2 linked regions of the Macaca fascicularis genome follow. The protein of the gene in region 1 purifies or fractionates together with the protein of each later gene. This does not show direct contact. Links are inferred from orthologs where the notes say so. Each region holds a gene or a part of one and is shown on either strand. Other genes may lie near its edges.

Region 1 (8,098 bases):
TAATTTGCCCACCCCTGTTGGCCACTCATTGCTGTCAAATTACCTGTCTGTCTTCACTGCTCCTCTCAGGAGACCCCTACACTTACCAGTTCCACTTTCTCGGCTTCCCTGAGCTTCCACCAAACGCAGTCGGCTTCCAACACCATTTTGAAACTCCTCTTGAAGGTCACTAATGACCTAATCGCAATATCCAATGGCTTTCCCTCAGTGCTAATCTTATGTTTCTGCAGAATTTAATTCAACTGACACCCCCTTTATTCTTTTTCTTTTTTTTTTTTTTGATACGGAGTCTCACTCTGTCGCCCAGGCTGGAGTGCGGTGGTGCAATCTCGGCTCACCACAACCTCTGCCTCCCAGGTTCAAGTGATTGTCCGGCCTCAGCCTCCTAAGTAGCTGGGATTACAGCTGCGTGCCAGCGCGCCCGGCTAATTTTTGTATTTTTAGTAGATACAGGGTTTCAGCATTTTGGTCAGGCTGGTCTCGAACACCTGATCTTGTTATCCGCCCACCTTGGCCTCCCTAAGTGGTGGGATTATAGGCGTGAGCCACCAAGCCCGGCCAACAGCTTCCCTTCTATTTGGGATGCATGTCCCCTTTTACAACTCCTTTGTGGTCATTTGTACCTGGGTGATCCTTGGGTACCTAAGGATCTACCTGAGGATCCCTGATCCTCTGAACCAACATGTGCTAAAAGGAACTTTGTCTTTCTCTGCATTCCATCAGCAAGTGTTCCTAGCATTCCCATTTTTTGTTAATATTCTCAGGGTGGAGATGGAAAGTCAATTTTTATTATAAGATCTCCAATCTGGGCCTGGAGCGGTGACTCACACCTGTAATCCCAACTTTTTTTTTTTTTTTTTTTTTGAGACGGAGTCTCGCTCTGTTGCCCAGGCTGGAGTGCAGTGGCGCAATCTCAGCTCACTGCAAGCTCTGCCTCCCGGGTTCACGCCATTCTCCTGCCTCAGCCTCCCGAGTAGCTGGGACTACAGGCGCCCGCCACTGTGCCCGGCTAATTTTTTCTATTTTTAGTAGAGACGGGGTTTCACCATGGTCTCGATCTCCTGACCTTGTGATCTGCCCGCCTCGGCCTCCCAAAGTGCTGGGATTACAGGCGTGAGCCACCGTGCCCGGCCTGTAATCCCAACTCTTTGGGAGGCCGAGGCGGGTGGATCACCTGAGGACAGGAGTTCGAGACCAGCCTGGCCAATATGGTGAAACCCTGTCTCTACTAAAAATACGAAAATTAGCTGGGCAGTTGTGCACGCCTGTAATTCCAGCTACTCGGGGGCTGAGACAGGAGAATCGCTCGAACCCGGAAGACAGAAGTTGCAGTGAGTCAAGACCGTGCCACTGCACTCCAGCCTGGGCCACAGAGCGAGACTCCATCTCAAAAAAAAAAAAGCTGCAATCTGATCAGCTACCTGTGGCTTCCTTCTATAGTGCCATTCCTATTTATCCTTTCCTTTCTATTTTCATTGCTCCCATCTATTATCTTTGGTTATCCTCCTCTTTAATCATTGCTATGGAATATTTGTTAATATTTCTGAAATATAACTATGATGGTGTCATTCTCCATGCAAAATCATACAGCTCCCTTGGCCACAAAATAAGATGCACAGGGCCGGGCGTGGTGGCTCACGCCTGTAATCCCAGCACTTTGGGAGGCCGAGGTGGGCAGATCACAAGGTCAGGAGATCGAGACCATGGTGAAACCCCGTCTCTACTAAAAATAGAAAAAATTAGCCGGGCGCAGGGGCGGGTGCCTGTAGTCCCAGCTACTCGAGTGGCTGAGGCAGGAGAATGGCGTGAACCCGGGAGGCGGAGCTTGCAGTGAGCCGAGATTGCGCCACTGCACTCCAGCCTGGGCGACAGAGCGAGACTCCGTCTCAAAAAAAAAAAAAAAAAAAAAGATGCAAAGTTGGGTACGTTGGTGCAAGCCTGTAGTCTCCCAGCTACTCGGGAGGCCAAGGTGGGATTGCTTGAGCTCAGTTTAAGACCAGTCTGTGCAACATGGCAAGATCCCTCCCTATCCCCACTTTATTTTTTGAGACAGGGTTTTGCTCTGTTACCCAGGCTGGTGAACACTGGTGCAATCACAATTCACTGCAGCCTCAACCTCTTGGACTCAGGAGATCCTCCTGCTTCAGCCTCTGAAACTGCTAAGATATGGCCGGGCGTGGTGGCTCACACCTGTAATCCTAGCACTTTGGGAGGCCTAGGCGGGCAGATCACGAGGTCCGGAGATCGAGACCATCCTGGCTAACACAGTGAAACCCCATCTCTACTAAAAACACAAACAATTAGCTGGGCGTGGTGGCACGTGCCTGTAGTCCCAGCTACTCAGGAGGCTGAGGCAGGAGAATCGCTTGATCCCAGGAGGTGGAGGTTGCAGTGAGCTGAGATCCCAGCACTACACTCCAGCCTGGGCAACAGAAGGAGATGCCGACTCAAAAAAATAAAAATAAAAGGTTTTTGTAGACATGAGGTCTTACTATGTTGCCCAGGCTGGTCTCAAACTCCTGGGCTCAAGTCATCCTTCTGCATGGGCCTCCCAAGTGCCAGGCACCGAAGCGATGTTCACTGAGTTATTCCTGCCTCCACAATCTTAATTTGATCTTGGTCCAACTCTTCTGTACCCTGTACTCCACACCATCCTCATCTAACAAATTCCCTGCTCCTATTCATGGTGGGCCTAGGGAGGAAAAAAGGTTAAATAGGAGGAGAAGAAAAAGATCAGTGTGAGGGGAAAGTTGATGCGTCACAACTGGAGCTCCCCTGTCCCTGACTACAACAGGACCCAGTTCTTTTTTTTTTTGAGATGGAGTTGTGCTCTTGTTGCCCAGGCTGGTGTGCAATGGTGTGATCTTGGTTCACTGCACCCTCCGACTCCCTGGTTCAAGAGATTCTCCTGCCTCAGCCTCCCAAGCAGCTGGGATTACAGGCGTGCACCACCACACCCAGCGAATTTTTGTGTATATATATATATATTTTTTTCTTTTGAGACAGTCTCGCACTGTCGCCTGGGCTGGAGTGCAATGGGGGGATCTCAGCTCACTGTAACCTCTGCCTCCCGGGTTCAAGAGATTCTCCTGACTTAGCCTCCTGAGTAGCTGGGATTACAGCCATGTACCACCACGCCCAGCTAATTTTTTGTATTTTTAGTAGAGACGGGGTTTCACTATGTTGGCCAGGCTGGTCTCGAACTCCTGACCTTGTGATCCGCCCGCCTTGGCCTCCCAAGGTGCTGGGGTTACAGGTGTGAGCCACTGCGCCCGGCCAGGGCCCAGTTCGTTACCCTGAGTGTAAAAGTGTCTGAAATGGGCCCATGACCAGGAGTGGCGGAGAAACCCAGGACGCGGGCCGGGCGCGGTGGCTCACTCCTGTAATCCCAGCGCTTTGGGAGGCCGAGGTGGGCGGATCACCTTGAAGTCGGGAGTTCGAGACCAGCCTGACCAACATGGTGAAACCCCGTCTCTATTAAACATACAAAAGGTAGCTGGGCTTGGTGGCGGGCGCCTGAAATCCCAGCTACTCGGGAGGCTGAGGCAGGAGAATCACTTGAACCCGGGAGGCAGACGTTGTGTTGAGCCGAGATCGCACCACTGCACTCCAGCCTGGGGAACAAGAGCGAAACTCCGTCTCAAAAAAAAAACAAAAACACAAAAGGAAACCAGGACACGGTAGTGACAGCCGCTGCTTTCGGGGAGGAAGACCTGCCATGACAGAAACCGTTAGCGCCTCAGTCGTTCTCTTCCGCAGGTCGGGCCTCGGGCCCAGGTTTCCCGCCGGCTTTTTTCAGGAGCAGTCCCGGCCGGCCCCGCCTCAGCCCTTCCCGTTCCCCGGGGGCCGCTCCCTCTCAGCAGTCGCAGTTCCCGCCTCTGGGCTCCGGCGCCCGCTGAGCCGACGGAGGAGGGGCGTCTCCTGCGCTGGTTCCAGCCTCTTCGGGCGCCGAGTTCCAGGACCCGCCCCCCGCGCCAGTTGCCAGGGAGCGGTTGCCATAGAGCTGAGCAGTTGTCCGCGTGCGCAGGCGGAAGTCCCGGATTGAGGCGCCGCCATTTTTGCTGCCCGGACGCGGAGCGAGAGGCTGAGAGAGTCGGAGACACTATCCGCTTCCATCCGTCGCGCAGACCCTGCCGGAGCCGCTGCCGCTATGGATGATCGAGAGGATCTGGTGTACCAGGCGAAGCTGGCCGAGCAGGCTGAGCGATACGACGGTGAGTTGGGGGGGCAGCGGGGGGCTGGAATTCTCGTTCCCTCTGCCGCCGCCCACAGAGGCCGGGAACAGGAGACAAAATGGCGGCATCGTCTGCGAGCCTGGCCCGGGGGCTTGGGTTCGGGAAGCAGGAAATGGCCTGGGAGCTCCCGGGGCAATGGGAGGCTGTATGCCTTGGAATGTGACCCCTTCGCCGTCCTTAACTGCAAACAACTCGCGGGCCGGGAGGCCGGGGAGACGGGGTGGAGGAGTTGGTTGTAAAATGGCGGCTGGGGGGAGGGCGAGTCTCGGGGCGGGGGAGGGGGAGGAGATGGCGGGTGCTGTCTCCGAACGAGCAGCCCTCAGGGGAGCTTCTGGGACGGTCTTGGGATGTGGAGAACAATTGGGTGCGGTGACGGGGGAAGCAGCACCCGCCACATGGGAGAGAGCGGAGACCGGGAGCTGTAGCGCGGGCGCCTTTCAGGGAAATATGGCGGGTGGGGGCGGTGGCTTTTCCCCGGAGGCCCCGTGTGGGGCGGCGGCCGTGGAGTCTCACAAAGGAGAAGCCTTCAGAGCGATGGGCTTCCTCAGGCCTGAGGCGGGGGACAGTCCCGGGTGATGGTGGGGGGAGAGGGGTGAGCGGGAATCACTGCGGTTCGTCTGGGGCGGTGGCAGGCGCCGACGCTGCGATCGGGTTTCTCTCCCGTGGGCCGGCACCTCGTAGTGAGGGGGTTTGGGGCTTTTCCTCCTCGCCGCCTGCTGGGGAGGCCCAGAAAACCCTCACTCCCTCCCCTTTCCTCAGACTTAAAACGGGAGACCTCGAAGTTCCTGTAACCTTTCTCTGACTGCATCACCAGTGGGTTCTGATGGATAGAAGCAGGAGACCAGGAGGCCACGACTCTGAGAGTTCGAGCCTTTGTAGGGCCCGAGCCTCAGTCCACCCGTTTGTAAAAACGATGACTTTACAGTTTGTGCGCACCATCATGACACATGGAAAGACCTGTTGAAATAAAGTTATTTCCAATAGTGTTCAGTCACTGTATTTTGGTTGACTCTGCAGGCTCGGGATGCTGGTCTGTACTTCGTGGGGGAGCTTAACCTATTCCAGGCACTCGGCTGAGGCTGGGGTTTTTGAGTTATGAAGGTTGGAGATCCTGTTGCTTTCTTTTTTTCCATTTCAAATAAATGGGTTTATGTAGAAATTTTAGTAGTTCCTCTTTGTTCGTTGTTCCTTTGCCCATAACGGGTTCTCCAGTCCTTTTTCATAACTTTATCGAAATATCCATTGTGTCTGTCTAGTCATTGTCAGGAAGTTTATTCTTAGTCCTCCCTCCCAGTCCACCTTTTGAAATACCCTCACATTTATAATTGTGCGATACTGTAGTATTAAAGGAAAAGTCATGTATGTGGGTCCTGTGGTTTTAATGCTTTTGTGTGGTAGGGTGGGATGAGACATGGTTGGAATCAAGTATCTTTGATCCTTAGATTTTTCCTGATTAAGCTACCTGTATTTCAAAATGTTGTGTAGGGCCGTTGCTTTCCTGGAAATGCAGATTTAGTCATGTGAATAACCTCAGGGCTACTCCCCCTTATCAGAAACGAGGATTCAGGGATTTGAAAATAAGACAAGGCCTCTAGAAGTCAAATTTGGAATAATACTAAACTAAATTTCGTCTTGTAAATTGTTAAATTGCTATTTGTATTGAACAAGATTCCTGTTGGGAGAGGGAGGGGAATTAGGTGGGGAAGTGCAGCTCAAGGTCAGCTTTGTCTTTATTTCAGTGTTTAAAAATCAAACAGATAAAGATGTGCTTGTATTGGAAGTCTCCTCCTCCGCTCCTCATCTCCAGATGTTCCCCTCTTCATCTATTAGTGTTCTTGGGAGGAAACAAATTATACTTGAATGCTTTCTGTTTTGTGGGCATTGGAGCTCTGAGTAAACTTGCTGTGATAACTAGAAAGGATGTGAGAGAAGGTCTTTTTTTTGAAAGCTCCTTTAAAAAACCGATTTGAAAGCTTATGATTGTAGTTTCCAATTAAATGACAGGTTAGTGATAATTATATTTTTGATGTGAGTGGTGAAGATTTCTGACCAGAGCCCTTACTGGTTATTGAACATAGGACTCTGATAAAGCCACATCCTTACAGTTGTTAATGTTAGGTGTCCCCTTCAGGATCTAAAGGGGTAAGGAAATAGAATCTGCAAGGTGAGGAGCTATTCCTGTGACTTGGGGCATATGGTAGGGATTCAGTAGAAAGGAGAGGAGGAGAAGGAGACAGACACCAGGAATTTCTACCTGTGTCCTCTGCCTGTGTCCATTCCTTTATTGAGTGCAATATTTTTTTGTTTCTGGGACGAAGTGTTGCCGGAGTCCTGGTCACCAAACAGAATTTAGCAGGTGTCGGTGGTGGAAGAAGGTAAGACAGTATATTAGCAGGATTTCTTTGTTGGATACTTGTACCCAAATGCTGGTTTTCCAGCTGCTCTTTTATCTTTCTGTTAACTGCAGTAGGCCTATTTTATTTTGCTTGCTGTGTTGAATTAATGCCTAAACTTACATGTACCCTCATTTAATTCTATCCTGGGGCGTTGGAATCAATTTATATGGATTATTTAATGGTACGGGAGGAAGAGCTAAGCTGTATTCAGGAAAAGGACACTTTAATGTCACAGGAAATATTTAAGTTTGGGGCCAGGAGGTGAGGATTAAATCTAGCATCTCATCACTTTAACAAGCCAGTAGTCTAAGGAATCATTTTTACGTCCTTTGAAACCGTATTAAGCAAGTCCATTATTTCTTAATATTTCTCAAATATTGTTTGAGAATGTATATGAATTAATATAAAATGAATAGTATATATGAATTAGTACAAAAAAGTGGGGAATAGGCCCGGCGCAGTGGCTCACGCCTGTAATCCAGCACGTTGGGAGATCAAGGCGGGTGGATCACCTGAGGTTGGGAGTTTAAGACCAGCCTGGCCAACAAATTATCTGTGCATAGCTACTGAGGAGGTTGAGGTGGGAGAATCACGAACCCAGGAGGTGAAGGTTGTAGTGAGCCAAGATTGTGGCATTACACTACAGCCTGGGCGACAGAGCGAGACTCTTGTCTCCAAAGATAAAAAAAAAAAAGAAAGAAAGAAAGTGAGGCTAGGTGCGGTGGCTCATGCCTATAATCCCAGTACTTTGGAAGTCTGAGGCCAAGGCGGGCAGATCACCTGAGGTCAAAAGTTCAAGACCAGCCTTACCAACATGGAGAAACCCCATCTCTACTAAAGATACAAAATTCTCTGGGGGTGGTGGGTGCCTGTAATCCCAGCTACTTGAGAGGCGGAGGCAGGAGAATCACTTGAACCTGGGAGGCCGAGATTGCAGTGAGCCAAGATCACGCCATTGCAGTCCAGCCAGGGCAACAACAACAACAAAAAATGGGGAATGTAGAGGGGAAAAATGAATAGTTTCCCCGTTTTGGGGGAGCAGAGGGGCAACATAAACTACATTTGGGCTTGTGGAGCAGTTGTTGGTTTTGTGTCTTCCCTGTCAAATTGGCTCCATGGAAGGTAGGGTGAAGTTTTGATGGTCATGTTGGATTCAGTAGGAATGCGTCTGTTGTGTTATTTACTTGAGAGCTGTCTTTTTTTTTCCCTCCGCCTCCCGGGTTCAAGCGATTCTCCTGCCTCACCCTCCCGAGTAGCTGGGACTACACCATGCCAGACTAATTTTGTTTTTTTTTTTGTTTTTTTTTTTAGTAGAGACACAGTTTCTCCATGTTGGTCAGGCTGGTCTTGAACTCCCAACCTTAGGTGATCAGCCCACGTCGGCCTCCCAAAGTGCTGACATTACAGGCCTGAGCCACTGCAACCGGCTGAGAGCTGTCTTTTTTTTTTGAGGTGGAGTCTTGCTCT
Region 2 (6,144 bases), on another chromosome or scaffold:
CATTGAGACTTCCAACTGAATATGAGAGGAACGGGAGATATGAGGGCTCAAGGTGAGGGAAATGATTTTTACTTAAAATTTTTTCCAGATGTTTACTTCATTTCTGTGGCAGAGGCAACACTATCTTCTGAATGTTCCCTACTGTATTCCTGCTGTCTCTACTGTATTCCTGCTGTCTCCGTAGGAGTTAGAGGTTCGCATCAGGTCGAGAGGGTGGCCACGGGGGGGCGCCAGCCTGCCATGAGCACCGTCCGGATCCAGCTTGGCCTCTGCTCTATATTTGTGTTTGTGTTAAAAGCATGGCAATGCCTTCAGCCTTCCTGCCTGGGCGTTAACAGCCTTTGGAGGTCTGGGTTGGGTAGCAGTGCTCAGAGAAATAAGCCCTCAGTTAATCACTGACTCCTCACATGGTTCTCTTCACAAGGAATAAAAGCAAAGTACTTAATAGAATATCCATATTTCGAACTAGTTATGTTTTCTTCTAAGAATGGTGATTATATAGTTGAGTGTTTTGCTTTTCTTTTTTTTTTTTTTTTCTGAGACAGGGTCTCGCTTTGTCACCCAGGCTGGAGTGTAGTGGCACGATCATAGCTTGGGCTCCTGGGCTTATGCAGTCCTCCCACCTCAGCCTCCTGAGTATCTGGAACCACAGGCACTACCACCATGCTGGCTAATTTTTGTATTTTTTTGTAGAGAGGGGGTCTCGCCATGTTGGCCAGGCTGGTCTCAAACTCCTAGGCTCAGGTGAACCTCCCACCTTGACCTTCCAAAGTGCTGGGATGACAGACATGAGCTGCTGCGCCTGGCCTTGCTTTTCCATTTTGTGTAGTTATCATTGCATGGATTTACAGGGGGGCCAGTCACCAGGTAATCTTAGGACTCTGTGTCCGTAGTTCTAGATCTCTTCCACTTCTGCCCTTTTTTATGCCAGTCACCAGCAGGCTATTTCAGGTCCTCATTCACCATTTGTCTTTTAGGTCTTTTTAAAAGCCCACTTCTGGTCATATGACCTCTGAATTAAAACTTTCAGTGACCTCCACTATTTCACCCGGCCACATCCCTGCGAGGCCCTGAGTGGCGTGGTCCAGGCTGCCCCAGCAGCCCAGCTCCGCTGCCCCATCAAGGCGGAGCATTGGGGTGAGTGCCAGGCAGCATTCCCCCTCCAGGCCTGCCCATCCCAGCCAGTAGCAGGCTCTAGATCCTGGTTTGTTTCCCCACCCATAATAGGAAGGTGAGATAATAGGGCCTACATGGACATCAAGTAAGTTGGGGCCTGACCACCACAAGTACTCATTAAGTGCCACCAGCTGTTGTGGGGGTGATGACACTGTGCCTCCAGTTCCACTCAGTCTGTGTACTTTATTATGCCACAGACACATCCTGTACTTTCCTACCTCCCCTTTGGCTGTGATCCCCTGTACTCAAAACAAAAACTCTTTCCTGTCTTCATTGCATTTTGTTGAAATCCCATGGCTCTTCATAGCTCTCCTCAGATGCAGGCCCACTCCCACCCGTGCCATTTCCTGCTTGTCTCATCCTGCCTGTCACACTCTCCTGTCACACTGCTAGGTGGGCTCCACCTCTTCTGCAGCCCTCTAGGGGATGGCCAGCCTTTCCTGTGCTGCCACTGTTGCCTCACCTTACAGTCTTCCTGGCTCCAGATTAGTTTGAGAGCTTTTGCTTATCTTTGTAACCCATTTAGTATCTAATGTGGCATTTTATACATAGGAAGCTTCTCATCAGTATTGGTGGATGTGAACCAAATTGAACACTAGCAGGTTGGTGACACGGAGAGCTATGTGCATATGTAAAAACTGTAGCCCCTCACCTCTGATTAGTTGGCCATAGGATGGAGTATACTTAAGGTACATAGACTGTTTTACTCCCAAGAGTGCTAGTCACTCACTGTCTTAATTGAGGCCACCAGATACACACATGAGAATGTAAATAACGGCTTGTGGCAATAATGACTAAATGCCAAAGAATGGCCGGTAAACCATGGTGGTCCCTAGAGACCCAGGCCTGGGCCATACTCATGCTGCGTCTTGGGCATCCAGACCAAGGCTTACATTCTGAATCCGCAGGGCATCCACATGGGTGGTGTCAGTCCTCCACAGACAGAGAAGTGTCCCATTGCATTTTTCCATCTATTCCAGTAGTAAGATTGTGTCATCTAAGATTTTTGCTTTAACTGTATAACTGGACATTTAATTAACAAACCAGAGAAGAGGAAAGACAATGAGGTGGGTAGAGCATCATGTTCAGCCTTAGGGCCGTTCACAGAGAAAGCAATTTTAGACTGCGGGTGTTGAGTCTCCAGTTACCCTGAGTGCCAGTTACAGTGATTTACATCTGAAGGAACTGTCGCAGGAGAGGGACAGCCCAGGGTGGATGGGTGAGGTGGGCAGGAACTGGCTGCCAACTCCCTCCCTGAGCTGGGCCTGCAGAGCCCTGAGTGGAGGAGTGGGGCACGCTGTCCCCTTTGCCTGATTTCCAAGGATTCTGTTTAACCAATTACTTTCTTCATTTTAGTAAGCACAGGTGGCTGGTGAAGATTTTACAGCCAGGTAGATCTTTTTGTGTGTGACTTATGACTTTTAGAGGGTGGGGGAAGAAAATAGACGAAAATAGATTTAGTTACAATTGTGAGTCTGTGCAGGAAAATGTGGAGGTCAGTCGTTAGTTGTGTTGTATTGAAGATGTGAATGAGGAACTAGCTGAAGTGTAAGAGGTTGATTTTCCTGTACGATTAAAAATAAACCTGCCTCTGTGCATTTCAGTCGCAATGTATCTGCTGAGCAAAAGGATGAAAACAAAGAAGCAAAGCCTCGATCCCTACGCTTCACCTGGAGCATGAAAACCACTAGTTCAATGGATCCCGGGGACATGATGCGGGAAATCCGCAAAGTGTTGGATGCCAATAACTGCGACTATGAGCAGAGGGAGCGCTTCTTGCTCTTCTGTGTCCACGGTGATGGGCACGCAGAGAACCTCGTGCAGTGGGAAATGGAAGTATGCAAGCTGCCAAGACTGTCTCTGAATGGGGTCCGGTTTAAGCGGATATCGGGGACATCCATAGCCTTCAAAAATATTGCTTCCAAAATTGCCAATGAGCTAAAGCTGTAACCCAGTAATTATGATGTAAATTAAGTAGCAATTAAAGTGTTTTCCTGAACACTGATGGAAATGTATAGAATAATATTTAGGCAATAACGTCTGCATCTTCTAAATCATGATATTAAAGTCTGAGGACGAGAGCACGCCTGGGAGCGAAAGCTGGCCTTTTTTCTACGAATGCACTACATTAAAGATGTGCAACCTATGCGCCCCCTGCCCTACTTCCATTGCCCTGAGAGTCAGCGTGTGGCCCCATCTCCATGTGCCTCCCGCCTGGGTGGGTGTGAGAGTGGACAGTATGTGTGTGAAGTGGTGTGTATGAAAGCATCTCCCTGCACTGCAGCCAGTCATTACTGGTGCCTCTGCAGGAGATCATGTGGTGCTAAAACATTACACTTGCCAGGGAGGAGAATACTGAGTTACTGCCAAGAATTAACCGTAAGACTAGTTCATAGTTAATACAGGTTTACAGTTCATGCCTGTGGTTTTGTGTTTGTTGTTTTGTGTTTTTTTAGTGCAAAAGGTTTAAATTTATAGTTGTGAACATTGCTTGTGTGTGTTTTTCTAAGTAGATTCACAAGATAATTAAAAATTCACTTTTTCTCAGTAAAATCTTGCATTGTCTCCTAATACTGTATTTAACACACCCTCAAGTTGAGCAAAAGGAATGTGTATGAAGGTTTGGGGTCACGTGGACCTTAGCAGGGATCCCAATGTTTTGTGATTACCAGCATATTTTTTCTCCCAAGGCAATAAAGGGAGAAGACGGCCCTCATGGTGACCCAAGAAGGAAGGGAATCCAGAGCAGCTGCAGCTTAACCCTGGGAGTTGTTGCTCAGCCCTATGGAGAAACACCAGGTCTTGACGGTTCTGGGTTGGTTCTCTGTGAAGTATGTAAATTTCTTTTTGCCTTTCTTGTGATTCACTACATGAATCAGACCTGCAGCTTTTGTCCAACACCTACATGGTTGTGTAGGGGTAATGAGCTCATCACTCATTGTGTTACTTTATTCTCACAGGGAAGTTGTCACACTGGTGTGCTATTTTGGGTTCTGGGTTTGTTGTTGGTCAGAGTATGGAAGTCTGGAGGCCGGGCACTGTGGCTTACAGATGTGAGCCCAGCACTTTGGGAGGCTGAGGCCGGAGGATCATTGAGTCCAGTAGTTCAGGACCAGCTTGGGCAACATGGCAAGACCCCATGTCTTCAAAAAATAAAAACATTGGCCAGGCGCGGTGGCTCATGTCTGTAATCCCAGCACTTTGGGAGGCTGAGACGGGCAGATCACGAGGGCAGGAGATCAAGACCATCCTGGCTAACACGGTGAAGCCCCATCTCTACTAAAAATGCAAAAAATTAGGCGGGCGTGGTGGTGGGCGCCTGTAGTCCCAGCTACTCAGGAGGCTGAGGCAGGAGAATGGCGAGAACCTGGGAGGCGGAGCTTGCAATGAGCCAAGATGGTGCCACTGCACTCCAGCCTGTGCAACGAGTGAGACGCCGTCTCAATAATAATAATAATATAGGCCGGGCGCGGTGGCTCAAGCCTGTAATCCCAGCACTTTGGGAGGCCGAGACGGGCGGATCACAAGGTCAGGAGATCGAGACCATCCTGGCTAACATGGTGAAACCCCGTCTCTACTAAAAATACAAAAACTAGCCGGGCGAGGTGGTGGGCGCCTGTAGTCCCAGCTACTCCAGAGGCTGAGGCAGGAGAATGGTGTGAACCCGGGAGGCGGAGCTTGCAGTGAGCTGAGACCCGGCCACTGCACTCCAGCCTGGGCGACAGAGCGAGACTCCGTCTCAAAAAAAAAAAAAATAATAATAATAATAATAATATAAATAAATAAATAAATACATCAACCAAGCATGGTGGCGCACCTGTGGTCCCAGCTTTTCGAGATGCTGAGGTGGGAGGCTTGAACCCGGGAGGTTGAAGCTGCAGTGAACTGTGATTGTGCACAGCACTCCAGCCTGGGCAACAGAATGAGACCCTGTCTCAAAAAAAAAAAGAAAAAGGAAAGAGAATCTGGACAGTCAATCAGTCAGAAATATTGTTGTCTGTCTCTAGAGTGGGCAAGGCACTGTTCTGATTGTTTGAGATCCTCAGTGAGCAAAACAGACCCCTCTCTCCTTGAGCCTGACTTTCTAGGCAGTGGATAAACAAGTAAATTACCTAGTATGGAGCACAGCAGCACGTGCGAGAAAGCACAGAGCAGGCACGGGGTGCATCAGCACTCTGGGTGGGAATAGGTCTCCTTGGGCAGAGCCTGGGTGGGCGCGTTCCCACAGATTTCTGGGGAAGAGCACTGCTTGGGCCTGAGGCCTGAGTGCACGGCGTGCCTGGAGCAGAGTGTGGAGATGCTGAGATGCTTCTCCTGCATGGGAGCAGCTGAGGGAATGACAAGAGCCTTGTGGCCTTGGGCTTTCAGAGGATCACCCCGGCAGCTATGCTGGAACTCACTGAAATGGGACAAGGAGAAGCTGGGAAAGCCGCCTGGAGGCTCTCAGCAGCAATACAGGCAAGAGGTAGTGCAGCCTTGGGTGAGGATGGGCCTTGGCGCGGGTGGTGGTTGGGTTTTGGATATGTTTTGAAGTAAGAGGCAACTGCATTTGCCCTGGAGTTGGATATGGGGTGAGTAGAGCCAAGGACAGCTTCATGATTTTTGATCCGAACAGCAGAAAGGCCAGAATTGCTGTTAGTTGAGATGCGGAATGTGGCTGTAGAGATGTTGGGGGACAGGAGGGGAAGAAGATGAGGAGAGCAAGCTGGGATGTGTTGAGTTTGAAGTCCCTTTAAACACTGAGTGGTGACATCTAGTGGGCAGTTGGAGAGGGGCTGGGAGAGGTCGGGTCTGGGAGATGGAGGAGAAGCCAGGACTGAGTCCTGGACACAGCGCGAGGAGGGGGCCCGGGGAGAAGAGGTGAAGCTGGTAAGGCAGCAGCAAGGAGGGAGGGCCCTCCAGGTGTCAGAGGCAGGTGGACATCATGACCTAAGGCTCACCTCGTGGGAACTTTCCAACTTTTAGCAA

The links. Proteins that work in one complex are often made in the same cells at the same time.
Region 2: the proteins of YWHAE (region 1) and MARK3 purify together in Homo sapiens (affinity purification with mass spectrometry; 9 studies listed by BioGRID and IntAct, with this or other methods). This does not show direct contact. The link is inferred for Macaca fascicularis from reciprocal best matches to the Homo sapiens genes YWHAE and MARK3.

The regions. Positions count from the first base shown.
Region 1 is NC_088390.1:1,504,233-1,512,330, reverse strand, and holds the start of YWHAE (14-3-3 protein epsilon), read left to right. Parts: upstream 1-4,038; 5' UTR 4,039-4,150; coding exon 4,151-4,214; intron 4,215-8,098. UniProt on the Homo sapiens protein: Adapter protein implicated in the regulation of a large spectrum of both general and specialized signaling pathways. Binds to a large number of partners, usually by recognition of a phosphoserine or phosphothreonine motif.
Region 2 is NC_088381.1:171,674,255-171,680,398, forward strand, and holds the end of MARK3 (MAP/microtubule affinity-regulating kinase 3), read left to right. Parts: intron 1-7; coding exon 8-52; intron 53-2,780; coding exon 2,781-3,126; 3' UTR 3,127-3,729; downstream 3,730-6,144. UniProt on the Homo sapiens protein: Serine/threonine-protein kinase. Involved in the specific phosphorylation of microtubule-associated proteins for MAP2 and MAP4. Phosphorylates the microtubule-associated protein MAPT/TAU. Phosphorylates CDC25C on 'Ser-216'.